Linked DNA regions of Tamandua tetradactyla. The protein of the gene in region 1 interacts with the protein of each later gene in a pairwise test. Links are inferred from orthologs where the notes say so. Each region holds a gene or a part of one and is shown on either strand. Other genes may lie near its edges. The genes, in order: UBQLN4 and SPP1.

The links.
Region 2: the proteins of UBQLN4 (region 1) and SPP1 interact in a two-hybrid assay, tested with the Homo sapiens proteins (2 studies listed by BioGRID and IntAct). The link is inferred for Tamandua tetradactyla from reciprocal best matches to the Homo sapiens genes UBQLN4 and SPP1.

The regions. Positions count from the first base shown.
Region 1 is NC_135330.1:9,087,585-9,098,648, forward strand, and holds the start of UBQLN4 (ubiquilin-4), read right to left. Parts: upstream 5,126-11,064; 5' UTR 5,069-5,125; coding exon 4,961-5,068; intron 3,460-4,960; coding exon 3,308-3,459; intron 2,962-3,307; coding exon 2,744-2,961; intron 2,170-2,743; coding exon 1,907-2,169; intron 50-1,906; coding exon 1-49. Other genes in the region: ragulator complex protein LAMTOR2, read left to right, coding at 6,229-6,296, 6,614-6,776, 8,574-8,663, 8,908-8,964; RAB25 (ras-related protein Rab-25), read left to right, coding at 10,531-10,573. UniProt on the Homo sapiens protein: Regulator of protein degradation that mediates the proteasomal targeting of misfolded, mislocalized or accumulated proteins.
Region 2 is NC_135350.1:38,796,428-38,807,241, forward strand, and holds the start of SPP1 (osteopontin), read right to left. Parts: upstream 4,702-10,814; 5' UTR 4,565-4,701; intron 3,631-4,564; 5' UTR 3,617-3,630; coding exon 3,563-3,616; intron 3,451-3,562; coding exon 3,409-3,450; intron 1,108-3,408; coding exon 1,027-1,107; intron 771-1,026; coding exon 729-770; intron 1-728. UniProt on the Homo sapiens protein: Major non-collagenous bone protein that binds tightly to hydroxyapatite. Appears to form an integral part of the mineralized matrix. Probably important to cell-matrix interaction.

The DNA.
Region 1 (11,064 bases):
TGCGCATCATCTCCTGCATCATGGCTGGATTCCGAGCAAGCTCCATCGTCTAGGACAGGAGGGAAGGAGACGGGATGAGGCCTGGAACCAGCGGAACAGCAGGCTAGGAAAAGGGTGAGGCCGGAGGAGGGGTTCTACCTTAGAACCAGGGGCCAGGGGCCGGGGCCTAGCAATTGCCCACAGTGGCAGGGAGTAGAGTGAACTAGATGTATTCTATAATTTTGGCTCCAATCCTGTTTCCTTGTGGATATTTTGGTTGGCTTTTTTCTAACAGGGGAAAAATCTTGTGATGATCCAAGACAAGGTAAGGGCAGCAGTTTTCCCCCTGAGGCTCACGGGTTCCACAGAAGTATGAGGAGGAAACTGAGTTAAGAGGCAACCATTGAGAGGGGAGGAGGCAGAAGAGAAAATTCCTACTAAATATGGGCACTGGGCTAAGTACTTTACAGGATTTAAGTCATTTAATCCCCACAATAACTCTTCCAGGTAGGTATTTCTGTTACTATTTTGCAGATGAGAAAACAGGCTCAGAGATGTTATCTGGCTTTCTGCCTGGGGACACACAGCCAGTTCAGTGGTGGAACCAGGTTTCAAGGCCAGGAAGGTTTGTCTGACCAAGACCACACTGTGACTCATAGTAAATGACCACAAATTAGGGAGGGAAAGGATTCAAGTTGCAACAATGCTACCAACACCCTCTAATCCCTGCCCCCAGGTCTTTGGCCTGATTGCACTTTGAGAAACACAGAGGGTGGGGGCAATGGCTCACTCTCAATAAAGGGTGTTTTATGTTAACCCCAAGGAAAAACAGTACCTGAGAAAATAAACATGGCTTCTTCTTGTTCCCATCCAGCTTAGACTACCTTCTCTCTCCACCCATCTTTCTTTCCTTCCCAGTCCCGCTCTACACTCAGCTCTTCTAAGATGCCTTTATGGACTGATACACCTAGGCTCACGGGCTCTGATGTCTTGTTCCAGTGCTCAATTATTCATTCAGAAAATATTTACTGAGTCCTACTAAGTACCAGGCACTGTACTAGACAGTGAACAAAGCAAACACTCAAAAATGTCACGCAAAAAAAAATTCAGGAGTGCAAAGGTGGTAGAATTCTCGCCTGCCACTTGGGAGACCCGGGTTCAATTCCCGATCCATGCACTTCCCAAAAAACAACAAACAAGCAAAACAAAGAAAAAACAACTAAACAAACAAAAATTCAACAAAATGGTGCTGCAATAACGGGATACTCAAACGGAAAAAGAATGAAATGTGACCCCCACCATACAGCACACAGAAAAAAAAAAGTCACTTATCTTCTAGTGAGGTCAACACTGGTGCCCACAGCTTCACTGGGAAAACTCTCTCCTTATCCCCTGTCGGCCTGAGTAGGCCAGTAGATGAAGTTCCTAAAACCTCCTCCTCCAGGTCTCTCTTCTCCACAGGGCCATGATGATTCCCAAACATCCTACTCTCTTTTACTTTCAGACCTTTGCACTTGCTGTCCCTCAGCCCTGAATATTATTCCTTTTCTTCCCCTGACTGATTCTTCCTCTTCCTTTGGGTCTTAGCTCAGATGATACTTCCTCTAGGAGGTCTCCTCTGAGCTCCAGGATAGGGTGAGGAGCCCTTCTCTGTGCTCTGAGGGGATCCTGAACTGTACCTATGGGTAACACCAACCACACTGAAATACCTGTTTACCTATCCCACTTCCCTTTGAGACCAGGAACTTCTGCAAAGCTAGGCCTGTGTATTTTCATCACTGTACACCAGGGTTTAAAATATGGCTGCCGAATTAATGAATGAATGAATCAGTCAATCAGGCAGTGTAGGACAAGGCAGGAATAGGCTAGGTAGGGAATGCCTGGGCTCTAGGTATCCCCCTTCAACCCAACCTTCTCCCATACCCACCTGCCTCATGAGCTCAGGGTTGTTGAGCATGTGGCTAATCTCGGGGTTCCGCTCCATCAGCTGTTGCATCTGAGGGTTGGCCATGATCATGTGACGCATCAGGTCAGGGTTAGACATCATGTCCTGGACCAAAGGGTTCTCCATGATCTGCGACAGCATCTCAGGATTGGACATCAGCTGTCTCTGCATCTGTTGCTGCAGCTCCATGAAGTTGGCAGAGCCTAGGCCCAGGCTGCCCAGCCCCAGGATGCCCCCAAAACCAGCTGTGGGGAGGGGGCAGGGTCACCATCTGCCACGATAGCCCTTCCCTAACCTGGTCTCCAGAATGGGCCCCATCTGTCTCTGCCTCTCATATCTCCCTTTTCCACTTACTCCCATAGTCCCAGCCGTGATCCACGGCTGGCAAGATGTCAGTTTACTAGCCAAGACCTCTTTGATGGTAGAAGCTTAGATTACCCCGAGCTGAGCACAGTACCTAGCTCACCGTGGGCAACCACTGGCGGCTTGTTGAATGAACAAATAAATATTCTCTAGCTAACCCCAGCCAGGTCCACCACTTTCCCAAACTCACGGGGTCTTCCAAAATCCTGACCTGGGTTTTCCACATCCCCAGCCCCATTTCTCCCCTTACTGCTAACACTCAGCCATGTTCCCCTCCTTCAGGAAGCCCTCGCACACTGGTCTTGGCTGAATACCAGGGTCTGGAACCCTATGTCCAGAAGCCCCCCGCCCTCACCAGACCACCAGACCAGAGCAGGGACCATCCTTCTGCCTGCTCTTGGCTTTCCCTCACTCCCCAGACCAAGTAGGACTGTGTTCTCCTTTCTAGGGGCTTACAGAGTATGGAGGCGGGAGCACTGGGGGGTCCCTCCCCAGCCCCTGGGGAGGGACCGCCCCCACTGCTCCTTCGGCTTCCACTGCCAGTATCTGAAGTGGTGCTGCCAGAGGTAGAGGGCTGGGCAGGGGTGGCGGGCGAAGCAGGTGTCGTGGAAGGTGCAGAGGCAGGGTCTGGAGTGGAGGGGGAAGAAGCAGTCGTAGCAGCCGGATCTTGAGCCCTGGGGACAGAGAAAGGAGACTCTTAGGTGGGTGGAGTGGGCACACAGAGAAGCCACTGCTCTGATTCAAGCTACCTGCTGAGGGCCCCTGAGGCAGCAGCAGGGGAAGGGGTGGTCAGTAAACCAGGGAGAGGGAGGAAGGAGCTAGTCTTATCTGTCTTCAGGGCATTGTGGGAGGAGTAAGTCAATTTCCCTTCTCCTAGAGGTGATATCATAGTGCTGCCAGGCAGGACATCCTTGACACAGGCCGTCCAGGTCCAGCTGAGCCATGGGTGAGAAAATGTTAGACGGGGAAGGGAAAGGAGGGCCTAGTCAGAGGCTGGGCCTGCTCATCTTCTGAACTTACTTCTGAGGAGTCTTGATGACCAGGTGCACAGTGAGTCCATCCTTGATTCCATGCTGGTTCAGTGTGTCCCCATCCTTGAGGATCTTTCCGGCAAAGATCAGGACGAGCTGGTCCTGCTGGGCCTTAAATCTCCGAGAGATTTCCTCTTTGAACTGTGACCAAGAGGCAGAGGTCACTGAGGAGGCTGCCAGCCCAGACCCACCAGGGACCCTGCCCCTCTCCAAGAGCCTCTGGCATACCCTTGCTCCCACTCTAGTCACGGGAATTTCTTTCTGCAGTCTCTTCTCCACCCCTCCAGTTGCAATAAGCAGCTCCTTTCTTAACCAAGATGGACCAGTGAGAGGCTCCTCTCTCAGCTATATTCCAAGGTCTTCCACCCCAAAAGCCCTTGCTCTGACATCCTACCTTCAATCCCTTCACCCAACCCCCTATGAGGGTGCTAAATGGGCAGCCCTCTCCATCCCAACTCCTTCAACAGTTTTAGACCCAGGCCCCGTCTCCCTTCAGCCTTCTCTTCTCAGACTCCAACTTTCTATCTTTCTTTATTCCCAGCTTCTGCTTCAGCCATCTTTGAACTACAACAACAAATAGCCCTTGATATTCATCAGTTAACAGTCTAAATCCTGGGAGATATTATCTCCACTAGAAAGTTGAGAAAATTAAGGATCAGAGAGATTAGGCAATTTACTCTGCTCAGAATGGGACTCAGGCCTTGACACCCAAGCCCACGCTTGCAACGGCCTGGACACACTGCTTCTCAATTAAAACTGATTTAAATTTCAGCTTCGCAGAGGAAAGAATTTAAATTCTGGAATAGAGTCATTTTATAAAGTTGGGGGGCAGGGATGGCACCGAGGGCTAGCTTGGGGAGAGTTAGACTCCCCAACTATCAGCACACTCCCAACAAAAAATAACAATCATTCTGAGGAAAAACAGTGCACTTGCTAAGCAAAGGCAGCTTCCAGAAGCCCTCCCTTCCAACCAGATGGCCTATCTTAAGCCCCGCCTATGTGAAATTTTGGAGCAGCCACTGGGGGTGAGAAACAGAGGCAATATTCCCTCATTCACTTATTCAACAAATTTTTATTGAGCACCTACTGCACACTGCACAAACCCTAGAGGAGCTGACCACCAAAGGAAACCACTTCAATTTGAAAGAATCTGGGCAGAGGAAAATCCGCCCCCTACTACCCCAGGTTTTCTCCTAAAACGGTGGGCCTCCTCTGAGGCATAGAGTAGGCACCCGGTGCTCTCCTGCGTCCGTTCTCTTGTTTCAGCACCTTGCCTGGACTCCCTACTCTGCCATAGCGCCTCGAACCCCGACCAGTAACCCAGGGTTCTTCTCCCGTCTCTGTGCAAGTGCAGAGTGCTCTCTGTGCAAGGGGGCCCCCTCCTCACCCTCCACCACGCCCCCAGTCCTGGCCCCACGGCAAACCCCGTCCCCCCCAGCACACGCCATGCTCCCCGGATTTACCCTCGTAGGGCGCTCCCTACCAGCATCTCCTTCCCCACCGTTCCTCGGGGTTCCGGCTGGACCCTCGCCTTCCTGTCCGGGATCTTCCCGGACTCCCCGACCGTCCCTCAGGACCGCCCCCCCCCCCCCATCTCTCCGCAGACCCTTCCACGGCGCGCGGTCCCCGCCACCCATACTACCTCCTTGACCGAGGCTCGATCGCAGATCACAATTTCCTCCTTGTCCTTCGGGGTCTTGACGGTGACCCGAATGGGGGGCCTCGTCTCAACCCCGCTCGGCTCCGCCATGCCGCCGCCGCCGCCACCCGGCCGCCCGCCAGCCCGTCCGGGCCCCTCCTCCTCCTTCTCCACCTCCTCCTCCTCCTCCTCCTCCCCGCTAGCCCGGCCCGCCCGGCTCGGCTCGGGTGCCTCCAACACTCCCCTCTCCCCGCCTCTCCTCAAGGCTTCGCCACCCGCTCCGGACCTGCCGCAGCCACAGCGCCCCGGGCGGCCCGGGGGGGCCACTGCACCGGGTCCGCCCAGGGCCGAGCCCTGCGCCCGGGAGCCGGCTCTGGGGCTCGCCGGGCGGCGGTGGGGGGAGGGGCGCTGGGCGGGGGCGGGGGGCGTGCCCCTTGCCGCGGGGGCCCCGCCCCAGCCTCCCGGAGCCGCTGGGAGGTCCAGTCCTTCCCAAAGCTGCCCCCGCCCCCTCCGCGGGTCACTCCCGCGCCGGGACAAAGGACCTTCTGTGTCGCCGCTTTATCTCTGCTCCGTGAGATAACTTGGTCCTTCTCGGGAGGCCCAGTTCTCTCCAAAGGCTGGGCCTTCTCCCTCCTGACGTGAAGGCTGAATTTTCCCACCTCGGGACGTCCACCTAGGACCTCATCTCTACAACTGTCCCCATCCTCCCGAGGGATGGGGCCTTAATAAAGGACTGTTAAATATGGTTCCCGAGACCTGGGTTTGATCTGCGTGGCCTCGGTTTCCTCCTGTCTTTCTGAGCCTCGGTTTCCTCAAGATAATAGTACCTATCGCCTCATCCAAAAGAATTGTGTATAACACAGGACATTGCTTTGAAAAGTAACCAAAGGTGTACTTCATAACTACAAGGTTTTTCAAATTATTGAACCGTGGTTTGCCAAGCGGACGTGACGACTTCTCCCCGAAGGAGTTAAACCTCCTTGTAGGACTTCTGTCCTTTTACTCCCGCTCTTTTCCCCCATAACCGCGTGGTCTGACTGGAAAGGCAAACTATAGTTCCCAGGGTGCCCCGCGACCGCACAGGAACTACAACTCCCAGAGGCCTCCGCGGCGGCGGGGGTATTGAGTCAGACCCGCAATAGGCCGGGAAACTACAACTCCCAGGGCGGTCGGGAGCAGGGCGGCTGGACTACCGGGAGTGGCCGGCGGAGGCCAGCAGGCGGCACCTCGGCGGATCTGTGTGCGAAAGTTCCGGGTTCGGAGTCGCAGGCATGCTGCGCCCCAAAGCTCTGACCCAGGTGCTAAGCCAAGCCAACACTGGAGGCGTCCAGAGCACCCTGTGAGTGCGGACCGAGGACCCGAGCGGCGCGCGCTGAAGCCCGAGTCGGGCGGCGGGCGGCTGTCTGAGGGAGGGTTGGGGAAGGACCGCCCGGAAGGGAGGAGGCGGCAGAGGGGGCAGAGGCCTGGGGAAACCGGCCGGGAGGGCCCCTCTCGGAAAGGGAAGCGGGGCGTGCTTGAATGTCCGGGGCACGGTCCCGAACACCCTCGGCCCGGACACTTGCTTCCAAGAAGCGCCGGTAGTGGGGTTGTGATGGGACCCCAGAGGTCCTACTCCCTGTCTTAAGCACACCGATATCCCTCCCCACCCCTCGCCAGGCTGCTGAATAACGAGGGATCGCTGCTGGCCTACTCGGGTTACGGGGACACGGATGCCCGGGTCACCGCGGCCATCGCCAGTAATATCTGGGCCGCGTACGACCGGAACGGGAACCAAGCGTTTAACGAAGACAATCTCAAATTCATTCTCATGGACTGCATGGTATGGAGAGAAGAGCCTAGCTTCTGTCCTCCAATGGGGATTCCCACGGGGTGACCCGGATTCCGCCCGGATAGTCAGAGGGGCAGGAACGGGAGCTCTGGACGAGTACTAAGAGCTGGTGTGCGACAGCACTTAGAGTAAGCAGGACCCATTGCATCAGGTGGTGTTGAGGAGGGAGCCCTGGACCCGAGGTCTGATTGAGGTTCTGGTCTCTGCCAGCTACTTATCAGTTGTGGGACCTTGGGCAAGTCACTTAAGTTCTGGGAGCTTCCTTACTTCTCTAAGTTGGAAACAATACTCCTTCCCCCCACCTTTCCTGTCTCACACAATTGTAGTGAAGTTCAAATGAAAGAATGGATATCAACCATACAGTGAGGTACAAACACAAGGTGCTGTCATCCCAGGTTCAAAACCTTAGAGCTGGCAAGGTCTCCAGGACCTAGTCAACTCCTTTTACAGACAAAAGAAATGAAATCCAGAAAAAGGAAATGGACATTCCACTGTGAACTGCGTGGAAATAGGAACTGTCTCACTCATGTCTGTACATTCAAGAAATATTTACTTGAATGTAAATATAGTTTTCTCCAAACTGAAGGGAAAGTAGTAAACAGGATAGACAAAAACCCCAGTCTTCGTGAAGCTTAAAGTCACATATTTTTTATAATAAGCTTGGTTAAAAAAAAAAAAAGTTTGGTCATGGAAATGCTATGTAGAAAAATTAAGTAGGGAAAAGAGATAGAGATTGTAGGGGGCATGTGTTAGAGTCTCACTAAAAAGTTTACAGTTGAGCAAAGATCTGAAGGAATTTGGGGAGTGAGTCATGTGGCTGTTGAGGGAAAGAACTTCTCTGACAGAGAGAGCAACAAGTGCAAAGGCCCTGAGGCAGAAAGGTGCTTGGTCAAGGAACAGCAAGGTTAGTGTGGTTGGAGTGGCATAAGCATGGGAAAGAGTAGTAGAAAATGAAGTCAGAGAAGCAGGGGTGTAACACCTGGTGCCCCGCACACAGTGGATACCTAATGAAGGTCTGCTGAACCAAACTGAATAGACCCCAAGGTTGAATTGCCCAAAAGATTCTCCATGGAGACTCGGCTGGCTGACTACCTCTTCCCCATCCCCTGTCCAACCAAAGAGGCCATTTCAGTTCAATAGATGACTCCTATATTGTGCCTAGACTAAAGCTGGTGCTATAGGGCAAAGGTTTTCAAATATTCGCGACTGCAACCTAGCCATAAGAAATGCATCCACTAAAACAAAAGTTTCATGAAACATGCAATGCACTTCATTTCTCTTCTTTTTTATTTTTAAATGCTGATCTACTTTCTAAATTAATTTAATCCTAGGTCAAACCTCAGTTTGAAAAACCTTGTCATGGAAAAAGAAGATAAACATAAATTGGGTTACTATTCCCAAGCCCCTCTCAGTATCTTTGGGTTGAGCCCATAATAATGTCATCCATTTGGACAGGCTGTTACAGATACAAAACTCATTCATGTGTGATGGTACCCACACCAGCTAGGATGAGACAGAAATTACAGAAAAAGAAACTGAGTTTCTGATAGATAAATGAGTTTCCCAGGGTAACTTGGAGGTGGCTGTGCTGAAATTGGAAGCTGGGCTCTGGACTCTAATGTCCAAGGCCATGGCCAGAGCACCCCCCCCCCCCCGCCCCCCACCCACCAGCTGAACCTTCTGTGCCTTAGGCATGGAGGGAAGATAGAGTCTGTCTGGGGCAAGAGGAGCCCTTGTGGGAGGAGAGGGACCAGGGTGCCAAGCAGAACATCACATCTCCCCCACCAGGAGGGCCGTGTGGCCATCACCCGAGTGGCCAACCTTCTGCTGTGTATGTATGCCAAGGAGACCGTGGGCTTCGGGATGCTCAAGGCCAAGGTGTGTATGTGCCTCGTTCTTCCATAACCCTGGGCACAGCCTTCAAGCTCCATCACCATGGCCACTCCCAGCCCCACTACCTTACCCTTCTCACATCCACCCAGTGCATGCCTGGTGTGGGCTAATTCCTATGAGCGGGCTGAGGCTGGTGATCTGTGCATATGGCATTGGGGGTAGACCCTGGATTCAGGATCCCTCTACCAGCAAGCCAGTGTGGGACTAATTTCTGTTCTCCGCCTTGCAGGCCCAGGCCTTGGTGCAATACCTGGAGGAGCCCCTCACCCAAGTAGCGGCATCCTAATGGCCACAGACAGAAGCTGGGGTCACAAAGGAGAGATGACCATTTGGGGGGGCAGGGCCCCTGGGAAAACCTTCCTGAACTGGGGGAGGAGAGGAGAGGTTTTTTTTTTGTTTTTTCCAAGAATAAACTTCAATTCCTCTCTTGTGTATTGCTACTTTCTTGGGTCTGAGGAATTGAAGAGGTGGGAAGGAATCCAGGAATCCAGTGATCCAGGAATCACTGGATCACTGGTAGGAATCCTCAGTTCAGCAAGGATGGATTTCTACCCACTCGTTCCACAAACAAATGCATTTTGACTGTGGTCCCTTTGGCCTCTCCAGCAGAGTGGCCTCACCCAGCCGTGGCCACTCAAAGCAGAATAATATCCACCAGATTGTCAGGGTTCTGGTGGGGGTCACCTTGGATAAAGAGAATATAAGGCCCTGGAAACACAGCATCCTTCCTTGCAGGCTTTTGGGGGTGATTTCTACTCTTGGGGTTGGGAAGGTGACCCCTAGCCGCCTTCGAGGGGCCCAGCTCTCCCTCTTCTCCCAGGCATTCACATGCCAGCCAGACCCTTCCAAGTTCTTGAAGCAGACACCATAGCTTTGCTGTGAGGCCTCGCCACTGGGCAGGGAGTAGAAGAAACCCAGAGACAGGCCTCTGAGAGGCTTACATCTCCAGACCCTACCCCTATACTCAGACCCTTCACCCCATCTGGCAGTTTCTGCCCTTGGCCTCCCCTTCCCTGGTGTCCTTGGAGCAGATCAGCTCAAGGAACAACCAGTTCCTCTCCCCAGTGCCGTAGGAAGCAACCCATCCCAGGGAAGCAGGTCAGGCCTCCAGTCCCAGCCTCACCCAGGGTGAGAAATGCTGCCCAGCCCAGGCCTTGGGCTTTCAGGGAGGGGCAGATGTTGCTGTGACCAAGACGCAGCTCCCACAGCTCTGTCCCTCGTACGGGTATTCCATCAGCCCTAGCCCTGGCCCCAGCAGCCTGCCACTGTGCCCCCTGTCCACCCCACCAGAAGCTCTCTGCACCTTGCTTTGAAGGAAATACAGGAGGTCAAGTGGGTTTCTGCTCCCTGAGGGGTTCTTTCTAACTCACTAGTGGCCAGGCTACCACTTGCCACAGGGCCCAGGAGACCAGCAGTGAATGCTTAAGCTTCAGCCACCTCTCGGTAGGTCTTGTCTAGTGCCCACCTCCCCAACTACCAACCCTTGGAGCCTGCTCCCCTGCCTGCTGGAGCCCAGACTGAGAGCAGACACCCAACCTGTCTAACCTGTCTGACGTCATCGTTTCTCCACCCACTTGGGCCCCAGTTCTCCAGCTGCCTGCTCTTCCTGTTCTCTGCTTCCGTCCTCTCAGCCTCCTTACAGTACCCCCACCTGCCAGAACTGAGCCTCCCTAGGCCCTGCCTAGCTTTGAGTCTGCCCTCAATCCCTCTGGCTGCAAAACACTCCATACCCCCAATGAGAGGTGGGGCAGGTCCAGGACTCTTGAAATCCGAGGGTTGAGGGCACTGAGCCAACACACAGAGCAGTCACCTCTGCTTCCAAAGACACTCGCACCCTCCATGCGGAGCCAAAATGGGGACCGGAACCGAGGAGGATTATAACTTTGTCTTCAAGGGTGAGTTGGGGTCCATGGGGAGAGAGGAAGGCCAAGGAGATCCAGAAAAAGAGCAACTGAGGTGGACGGTCCTGGTATTATCTCTTACCAGGACCCCCCAGGGCTCATGATTCCCTCCGGATAAGAAAGCTGCAGGGCATGGGGCAGGAAAAATGTCTTGGAGCTGTTCTGTTATAAATAATGTTATTGATCATTCCTTAATATTGCCGAGTTCGGCTCCGCTACCCAGTTCTCAATGGAAACCCAAATCCCCGGAAATAGTCAGCTGCTGCAGCATAAGAGAGGAAGGTCAGACTTCAGAAAGGACTTCCCTTGTGGGACAAGAGGAAACAGGCAAACTTAAGAGGCAGAAAGTCACCATCCTGTACACCCCATTAGATGTGCAAGAAAGGAGAGATCTATTCCTTTACAGAACTGGGTAAATACACGGGGAAGATGTAACAAATTGGGAGCAGGGCCTGATAGGATCTGGAGGCCTCCTGAGCTTGTGG
Region 2 (10,814 bases), on another chromosome or scaffold:
AAAATACATAATTGTGAAGGTGATTTTTCTCTTTGAAATGTTGGGAATTCTCAGACTATCGGAGCATCCATATTTTAATATATGTACCCAAACCTAAAATCTTTCTCTATTTGCATGGATAATCAAAAGCAAACTCTATTATGAATATATGTATAAATTACATCTCAATTCTGTTACTTGAATCAACCAGTTAATGTTTATTGAACTCCAAATTGGCAATATGCTGGATTGTTGAACTTTCCTAATTAGGGATTCTTTGCCTATTCAAATAGAATTTTAATGAAAGCAAATTTAATTTATTTCTTTGCTCAGCAAATATATTAACCATCTTAATGAAAAGAATAGTAATCAAATAAACCATTATATTTGGAACAGACACATTCTTTAAGGCAAAATCTTGGCTTTGGTAACTATTGTTTAGATGCCTAACAGATATTAGATAAGACATCTACAAAACACCTTTAATAAATTTTGTGGCTTAATATTTCAAATAACGAGCATGAGTAAATACTTCCTGCAAAATTAAATGTACATGCAGAAACCTGGCATTCCTGACATTTAGTAAATACATATTTTCTTCCTGAGCAAGTTTTAGACAGGCAATTTGCTGGAGAATTTGCAAATGGAATCTCAACAGAAGAAAATGAAGACAATGTCATTAGAAGAAAGAACGGCTTCTATCATCTCTCCAAGGCATGGTAGACCCCCTATTGACAAGGAGAACTCACCTCTTGTTTAAAGTTGTCAGTTTCTTCAGAGGATATGGCTTGCTGAGCAGGAAAGACAAGAGGGCAGATATTAGTATACATCACACACGTTTAAATTATTGATTCAAAAGTTAGCTTTTCAATTCAACTCAAGTCTTATTTTTCAGGCTGATTGGTGAATGGCTTTCAGTTGGAAAGAGCCAACATGGTGGATCAATCTGTCATAAGCACAGGGATGAAATAATGGACTCATTTACTCAGTCCAAATCGTCTGTTTGGTAGCTATAGTTTTGCTTAATTGCAGGAAGTTTAAAAATACCTGCAGTGCTAAGAGAGTCTGCTTCTGAGATGGGTCAGGCTTTAGCCATGTGGCCATAGGATCTGGGTTTTTGTTGTAAAGCTAAAAAAAAAAAAAATAGAATATCTGTCAATATTTAAGAAAGATATAGGTATTTTTAACTGATAAGCTATAAACATAACTATGCTTTACCAATCTTGGATGGATAAACAATATGCATGCATATAATCAATCAGAATCTTAGGTAACCCTTTTATAATTGATTTTTTTCTTGCAGATTCATTTGACCAACTTTTATACGGCATTTACTATGAAACAGACACTCTTTCAAAGTGCTTTACAAATATTACTTCATTTAATCCTTTCAACTCACTATGATTCAGACATCATTTTTTTCCCCCTCATTTTACAGATCAGGAAACTTAACCATAATGAGGCCAAGTGGTAGTAAGTAGCTGAGGCTGGGTTTAAACCCAGGCAAACTGGCTCTTAACACTGTGCTTTTCCATTCTATGTTTGCTAGCTGAGTTCTCTGCATAGATAAAGCACAGCTAGAGCAGAAATGCTCTTAATTAATGTTGATCATCATTGATTCCTCTTCATAGAACAAGGAGAAATCTTTAAGGTTTTGCTTTTTAATATGGTATCCACTAGCTGCATGTGGCTATTCAAATTTAAATTAATAAAAATTAAATATCCAGTTCATCAGTTGCACCAGTCACAATTTTCAGTACTCAGTAGCTACATGTCTAGTAGCTATCTTTTATCTGACAGTGCAGATATAGAAAAGTGAAATTACAGAAAATTCTATTTTTCTAAGTTGCCAAAGATGTAAATCAAATAACATTTTCTTTAGCCAAATTATTTATCTGGAACACAATTGTAATATGGTAGTGAAGAGGAGTGGGAATTGTTATGAGTAAGTGTCATCTGATAGGCTGTATCACCCAGAGCAGATTGTTTCATATCATTTGAGAATAACAGCCTTGGGGGTCCCGCAGAGTCCCTTTATCAGACACTTGAGGGAATATGTATGGGAAAGGCACCAATCAATGGCATTTTGGTTTTCTGATATGACTGGCTCCAATTAATAGATGTGCAAACCACTGGAGTAGATGAGCTCAGAGTTTCCCTTTATATTTTTTATTTTTTTTGATGACTCAAGCTCAGAGATGATACATACTCAGAGAGAAGGTATTTATAAATTACATTTATAATTTTTAAAAAGTAATACAAAAGCAAAATGGACTGACCAACCCAGTAATCATTTTTATCTTTACCTTGTAAAGTATAAGTATATCCTTATAGATTTCTCCATAATTCCTATTAGTTCTAAATTTCTGGAATTCTGAAAGGTTGAGACGAGCTTATTCAATTATTTTCTAAATATTATTTAGTAACTTATACTGTCATGTTTTTATGTACCTTTTAAAAATACATCCTTGCCATATTTTATTCTATTAAAAAGGCACTAATTCTTGCAGCAAATAATACGACCTCATCTTCTCTGGAAATGCTATTTTTTTCCTGGTTTATTATTGCGAGTCAACACTTGTCTTCTCAAATCAATCGGAAAACAGACACACACATGCACCCATGCTCAGCACAAACGCAGGTGCACATGCAGACACACAGCAATGCTTCTCTGAATATCTTTACCAAGTAATTTAATTGCAGTGATCCCAGGCAACTCTGTACTGGCCTTTATTCTGTTCTTCTGGAAGTGTACTTTGTGTGGCTTTTTGTCTAAACTCTTGGGACAATGCCTGTTTGTTGTTTGGCTGGCACAGTTTCACATATTGCAGAGGGGCAGGTACATCTAGGGTGCTGGTCAAATCAGTATAATAGAGAATTTGATTTGGTCTTGTGTTTGACTAGGAAAATGTGATCCAAAGTCAGCTGGCAAGCACCACTGATACCAACAGCATAAAACAGACTTTCTTTTGACAATGGGCTTCTTAGCAAATATCTTAGGAGATATTGTGAGCACTATGGCCTTACAACAAGTCTTGACCAATATCTGAGAAGAATTTTTAATTTAGCCTTCCACTAAGTAATGCAAAGAATGGAATTTTCTCCTTCTAGAACATTATGTTGACTCGTGGGAAGAAAACAGTCATGCAATTTCATGGAACTCATTTTACAGAAGTGATAATGGCCGTAGAACATTTTTTTGCTACATTGAAAATTTAGTTTGGTTTTAAGATCATACATTTATTAAAAATTATAAATGTACTAATTAAAAATTAGTACTGCTCTAGATTCATAGCAAGCAGGCAATAAATACTTAACAAATTAACAGTCTTGATTTTGATAATAAGTAAAATTGGAACAAATATGTTTATAAAACCTCTTACAGTAATTGCATAGATAAACTAAATGATAAACTTAAAAGGTACGTACATATTTTTCCTCAGAGCTGACAGAATCAACCTTGTGTTTGACCTTGAAACAGAAATAAAAAGAAGAACGATGAGGATGATAAAATGTTTCTAGCACATGGAACTGCATAATTCTTTCATTTTCAAGAATTTCCTTCAGATTGAGCTATACTCACTGGAAGGGCATAGGTGATGCCTAGGAGGCAAAAGCAAATCACTGCAATTCTCATGGTGGTGATTTTTCCTGCAAAATATTTTGTGAGGAGCATATGACATCTTTGTAGGTTAAATCAATGATACTTATTTATGCTATCACATTTCAAAATAATCACTTCTTAGCAAAACCGTTTCTTTTTAATGCTATGGCATTTTGAGTTAATATTTATAATGTTACCTCTCTTCTCCATCTCTCACTATTCAGCAAGGGAGAGAGGGATTTCACAAGTTTATATTCACTTAACTTTTAAATTGAGAATTCCAAAGATTGTACCAGTTTTCCAGCATGCATTTCAAATGTAGTTTTTAACTTAAATTGCTGAAAAGGTGCTATTTAGGTGAACTGAACTTATCTTTAAAGTTAGTTACTTAAGTAGGACATTCTAGAAATTTGAAATTAAAAAGAAAACATTGAGAACAGTCAACAGCTTTTCTATTTCGTAATAATGAGTCTCCATAGTATCATATAAGTGTCTTTGTGAAAAATTAACAGGAAAATACAGATGTAAAACATTCAGAAAGGCACTCTTCCCCTTGAAATTGGACTAAATGAAATAATAAAATTAGTATTAAATTGTGTGACATTAGTACTAAATGTCCTTTTCCTTTTAAATGCTTCTACAACCATCTATCCATTAAAATGATACAGGTATAATAATTCCAAAGGGCACAGAATTTAGCTTCTTGGGGTTTGTTTTCCTATTTGAAGCAGAGGTTTCAGTTCTTTCTGAGGACCTGGTAGAAGTATTTTTGTTTTATTTTTGACCGGTTTTCAAAAATAGTTGGTCACCTTTCCTCCAGGAGATCTGCACTGTATCGGGCATACTTATTCCAATGACTAGAATAATTTGTCTGTCTTGCAGCAGCCTGATTAAACTATTTTCCTTGCTACTTGAATTTCCCCCATGCAATTAAACAGAATGTTTTACAGTACTGCAAAGTGATGCAGCCTGCAGGCTTACCTCGGTGGGTGTCTGGCTGAGAAGGCTGCAACGCGTCAGAGAAGAGTTCAGTCTGGATGAGTCTGTGCTCTCCTGCCTCCTCTGTCTGCTGCTGACGACCAGAACCTCCCCGAATTTAAATGCTGCTCCAGACATTCTCCACCAGCTCAGGGAGGCGGAGAGATGTGTCATGAGGTTTTTTTGCCACTGCCCAGCCCACAAGCTCCCACACTTCCCTTCTGGTTTTGTGGCTTAACAAAACAAAACAAACAAGAAACAAGCACAGATTCCTCTACAGTTAAAATGTTACTTATGAACAATATCATTAACCAGCTTTTTCATTTCTGAGGTTGGCATTAATCATTATGGAAGTACACGTAGGGGATCCCATAAAAAGGGGTGAGGGAGTAACCATCATCAAGATTTTACGCATAGTTTCTGAATTAATAGAAAAATATTAATATATATCAACCTTAAATGAAATGAAATAGTATGTATTTTTTTGTTTCTTTCCGTTTAAGTAACAGCCAAATTTGTCTCCATGATTAGACATACTGAAGAGCTGAAAAGATATTGCTGTACAGCATATGAAGAGTTCAGTTAGCCTCCCTCCATACTAAACTACTAAAGCTTAGTTTTGTATTCAAAGATGCAGCAGCTCATTGACTTAGACAAATGGCATTAGTGATATTAAAAATTTATGTTCATGCCCGTTAAGTCGGATTTACAGTCATGTTTCAAGGACACAGATTTTTGTTGCACTGATGAGGATGCGTGAGCTGTTAGGAGGTGATGAATCTGATAACTTGCTATATATAAAATAGAAGAATCATTATTTACTCTAGATGTTGCTGTAGTAAAGCAGTTTAAGACTGAAAACAGGGTGAATGCTTGAAGAGGGCTGGTTCAGGAGCAAGGGAGTGGGCTTTGAATCCCGTCCTGCCTCTAGTTAGCTGTGGAGGAATCTTGGGCAAAATACTTGACCTACCTTTGCCTGTCTCCTCATCTGTAAAATGGACATACTATTACTTAGCTTATAAGGATTTTGAGAAGCTTAAATGATTGAAAAATTAAAAGTATCAATGCCAGACAGAAATTATATGCAAGTGCTTGGCACGTATATGCAAATGTGTGGTTTATATTAAGCCCTGTGTGAGTGTTAACTATTACTGTAATTTTTAGAAAAGAGTTAGTCATGATTTGTAATATCTTTAGATGGAGTAGATTATTAGAAGTTTGTTATTAGTTATTAGGTCTTTAAGTTGTGTCTGGAAATAGGGTAATTTGCCCACCACTGAAAGGTTGATTAGATTTCTATATCATCTTTTTATATATGCATCTATGGTTGGTTGCTTAGAAAAGGAAAAAAAAACCCAAATATCTCTATACTTAAAAAGTTTTACTGGATACGTAAAGGTATTTAAAGAAAATTACAGATGATGCTTGAATAATGGAGCAGAAATCAGGGATAGTAGAGCTCTGAGCTCGTTTTAAATATTTCATATTGTCTTGACATTAACTTAATCTTTTTACCTACCTTTCCCAGTTGTGAAATTTGTTTTTACTATTCATTTACCTCACACTTTCATTGTAATCATTGCAGATGAAAGTGAGATTAAAAGATAAATGGTGCTATTTATTATAAGTTCTTAAGTGTCAGCTCCTATTTGCCAAATATTGCTTTTAAAATAAATCTAGATTTAAACAATTTCCTGCTATGTTAGTAAAAACAGTAACTAGATTTTATGAACATTTCATGAGGGAAACTGGGTCTCTTTTAAATTGGATGTATTCAAAATGAATTGGTATTGTTGATTTGTGGGTTATATGCGCACATTTTAATAATTCAGATTGTGCCTCTCTGAAATATAAACGCACATGGATATAAAATTGCAAAACAGTTGCCTTGTTTCTGTCTTCAACAACTTTTTTTCTTAAACACATTACCCACGGGATGTTTGTCATGTTGTCAGTTTAGCGGGGGCAAGTCCACAGATTCTAAAAACAACTAGCTGTCCCCACAGGACTCACTATAGTTTATTTTGTGCCCACGGGAATGATTTAATATGAACTTAGGGAGTTGAGTTATAGGAATAGATTTTGTTGGAACTCAACCATCTTGAGATGAACCATATGACCCTTTCCAGGACTTTTCTGGTCATAATGGCTCCAACGTGCCACACGATGGCAGTGTTTCGGAAAAGAATCTCAGACCACAATCTGGCTCTATCAGTTTTCTTATTCCGGCAGAATAGAACATCCACTACTATTTAAGACAAAACTATAAAACAGCTGTGAGTCCTCCCTTTCTTGAATGCCAGGTGAGGAAATATTTCCCAACAATGACCCACCATGCGGTAACTGGGAATACAGCGACCAAGAAAACCAAAACATTTTTGTTCTGCTCTGGTCTTGCCTTCAGCAACTCCAGGTTGATGCTGTTGTCTCCTTTCCCACTTCCCACATTCACTCAAAACGTTATTCTCACTCAGAATAAAGCCTTATGAATGCATGTTTAAAGAATACGTCTGGGATGCTGCAGAGTTGAAAAGGCTCTTCTGTAAAGTATTAAATGGATACTTGTGTCATTCTGACTGCAAGAGGCTCATGTTTCTTGGGTTTTGTAATCAAACCTGCTGACACTTAGTCTTTTGTGAGTAAGATTTTCCAACTGTCAGAATTAACACATTAAATGAACTAAGTCAGAGACACTTGCTCTGTAGTATTTCCACACTATTTCCATACTTGATTAGACTAGTGGTTGTTAGAATCGAAAGGTCAAAATGCCTGAATTCCTTGTAAATCTTTTGCTACGTGGAAAGGAAAAAGTTTTCTTGTTACACCAGAATGCAAAGAGTGGTTCATTATCTTAAAATATTAAGGGGATACATGGAAACATATAAACAACATTATATATTTTTTCCTCATTACATGAAGATTCCCATTTTAATAGGAAACATTAAGTACCTAGATGTCCATTTTAGGTGGATAACTTTACTGGCTTCAAACTTACTTTGACTAGCCTAATTACACTTTATGTAGTAAGGTATTGCCATCTATTTCAATTTTTTCAGCTCTGCAAATAATTATTTTTTTGCCCTGAATGTTCAGATTCAGACAATGAATCTAATTCAAATGCTTATCTTGAGAACATCACTAATCTGTCCTAGCAAACTTGGGAATTAGAACTAAGTATAATCAGAAGTCCAGCACAATATTCATCATTTGTAGTCTTGGTAAGGATGAATTAGGTTCTGGCATGAAATTTGAATATTTCAGTAATTACAAATAAAAAAGACACACCATAATGCCCTTTATCCTGTGGCTCAATGACCTAGACAACAAAATCTAGCTCCTGAAAAGCAGGGTTTTGGTAAACATTAGTTTTACTTAAAGCAAATTATAACATTTTCTCTTTGGATCCATGGAATTGTTATAGAGTAAATTTTACACTCAGTATATTATCAGTGATTAAGCACTCAGCCCTTCATCCATAAGAACTAATTCTTGTATGGGCACTGTGATTGAATCCATAGTATATATATATCTCATATGCTGATGTTTAATATTTACCAGTGCTCAAGAATCTTGTAGAATTTCTTTATTAAATTATTACCACCATCTCTGCGGGCATTCCACACTCTTTAATTTATAGACTCTTAGAGTGGATATAGATCATTAACTATTTTCTTTTCTTAAAATGGCACCATCCTTAGCCCAATGGAGCCCATTTATTCAGGAAAACTAACTAAAGAATATGATCCCATGCAACTACTGAGGTTAGGAGGTGTGATTAAACAATAAATTCAGGGAGGCTATGGACAGAGAAGGCAGATGGTAGAGGCCCTATGCCTACATTGGGGTTGAGGAGATGTGTCTTCTGGGATTGAGCACAAACAGAAAAACTCTGTTCCCACCTAACATCAATTACATTGGCATAGAATTTTGGCACAGAATCCCTGCAGCAACACGGGGAACAATAGGAGTCTGTAATAAAAAGGACCCAGAGAGGGAGGTAGAAAGCTGCAGAGGTACAAATAAAAGTCTAGCAGCTGTAGGACTGTGTGGGTGCAGATATGTGTATTTCTCAGCAATAAGCAATCAGCAATAGGCATTTTGCAGATCGTATTTGAGAGGAGACAAGCCTTCTTTGAATTCCATTTATGAGAATTCTTATTGAAAATATGGTAGTGAAGTAGTTTTCAGAAGAAGATAAGAATCCATCACAATATAAGGTTAGTATGAAAAAGTGACCATTTTCTTGCAGAACAGAAGATGGAAATCAGAGGAAAGTGGACAAGAACTGGAAACAAAGCAGCAAATAATTCCAATATTTTTATAGCCACACTGGCTGAAGTTTTTTTTTAAATTTATTTATTTACTAATTAAAAAAAACTTAACAACAAATGAACTGAAACATTAACATGCAATCATTCTGTTCTACATATATAATCTTTTTTTTTTTTTTTTACATGGGCAGGCATCGGGAATCGAACCCGAGTCCTCGGGCATGGCAGGCAAGCACTCTTACCTGTTGAGCCACCGTGGCCTGCCCTACATATATAATCTTTAAAGCTAATTTTGTTTCAACTTTTTGCCTCCCTTTGAATGCTGTTGTTTGTTTTTCACATGGGGAGGCACCGGGAAATGAACTCGGGTCTCCAGCATGGCAGGCAAGAACTCTGCCTCTGAGCCACCGTGACCCACCTGGTTGAAGTTTTTTTGTCTTGTTTTGTTAATTCTTATTAAGAAATAACTAGCATCAGTGTCCCTATTTTATGATATATTATTTATGTTTTAAAAATATTATTTAAAATAACTTTCATTTAAAGTTTGATTCCTTCTTTAAAGTTTGATTTCCTCAAAAGTGAAAGTTCTATGATATGCTCATCTCTCTGCAGTTGATGTGCTAACAAATATTTATTCAATGAATTAATAAATCTATTATAAACTGTATATAAATTCTCATGTAAAATGCATCCTGACTATGAACTAGCGTGGCACCTATGACGCTTTATTGCCCTTAAGTGTCTGTCTCCTCACACTAAGAAGGAAACTTCCTCCCAGTAGGAACTGGGTCTTATTCAGGTTTCTAGCCACAGTTTTCTTCTGGGCATTTACTCTATGTTTGGGGAAAGCATTAGCAATGCTTAATCCTCCGTGTGCTATCTGTGATACTTGCATTCAGTATGAACCGCAAGGAGCGGCAGCTACATACTGCTCAGTTCTTAGAATCATTTTATATACACGTTTTTAAATGCCATTGCAGAATTGGAAGAGCCAGGCTGTTCTCTACTTCCTGCCTCCCTTCTTTTTATGGAGTTTTGGGAAGTTCCTTAACTTGTCCGGGGTCCAGGTTATTCACCAGAGCTAATTTGAGTTATTTTTAAGGTCAACTTCAGCTCTAAAATTCTGTGGTTTTATGTTTCTCCTAAAAATTGATGAGTAATAAAAATATTGACATTACAACAGAAAAGCAAGCAGTTGTAGAGACAGTGATGACTATATCAAGATTGTAAGAGAAGTTTAAATTACAAACAACAAAGGAAAAATTTTGACACCTAAGCACCTCTCATAGAGAAGTAGAGAGTGAAAATTGAAGAGTCTTAAGATGTTTTCCAGTAAAAGTGATGTGTTTTTGGTTATCCTTTAAATCATAGATATAAATTATTGATGAGCACTCTCATAATAATATAAGTGAACATAAAATTTAATTTTTCTTAAAGGAAGGAAAACACTCCCTAAATACTTCTGTAAGACGTCAATTTTTTAATGGTCTGAGAATGTTTTCCCCTTAGCACCTTAGGGGTTTTCCAGAGGTGTTTTCTTAATATGATTCACATTAATTTCTTTCAGATTCCATTACACCAAGAGTGGGAGAGTAAAGAGAAACCAACAGAAGAGGTTGTTTTGTTTCTTTCCTGGAAGATGCCTGCTTGTGGTTTTAAGGGGCAGTGTCATTGCCAAACAGATCTGGCATATCAAGCTTCTCCATAATCTAGAGATGTTTTTAGATTTTTTTTCCCGTACTCACATCCTCTTCATTTCCAAGCATTTGTGGATGTCAGTCAGTGACAACCTATTAATTCAAGAGTTACTAAGAATCAAAGTTTGCTACTAAATTCTGTCCTCTTTTCACTGATTTCATTTTTAATGTGATTTATAATGCTTAGTTTTCCCAAAGAAATATTTCCTTGAAATATTTATGGTCTTCAACATTGACTTTTTCTGTGGGAACAAAAAAGCAAGCCCAGAACTCTTGCCTTTGCAT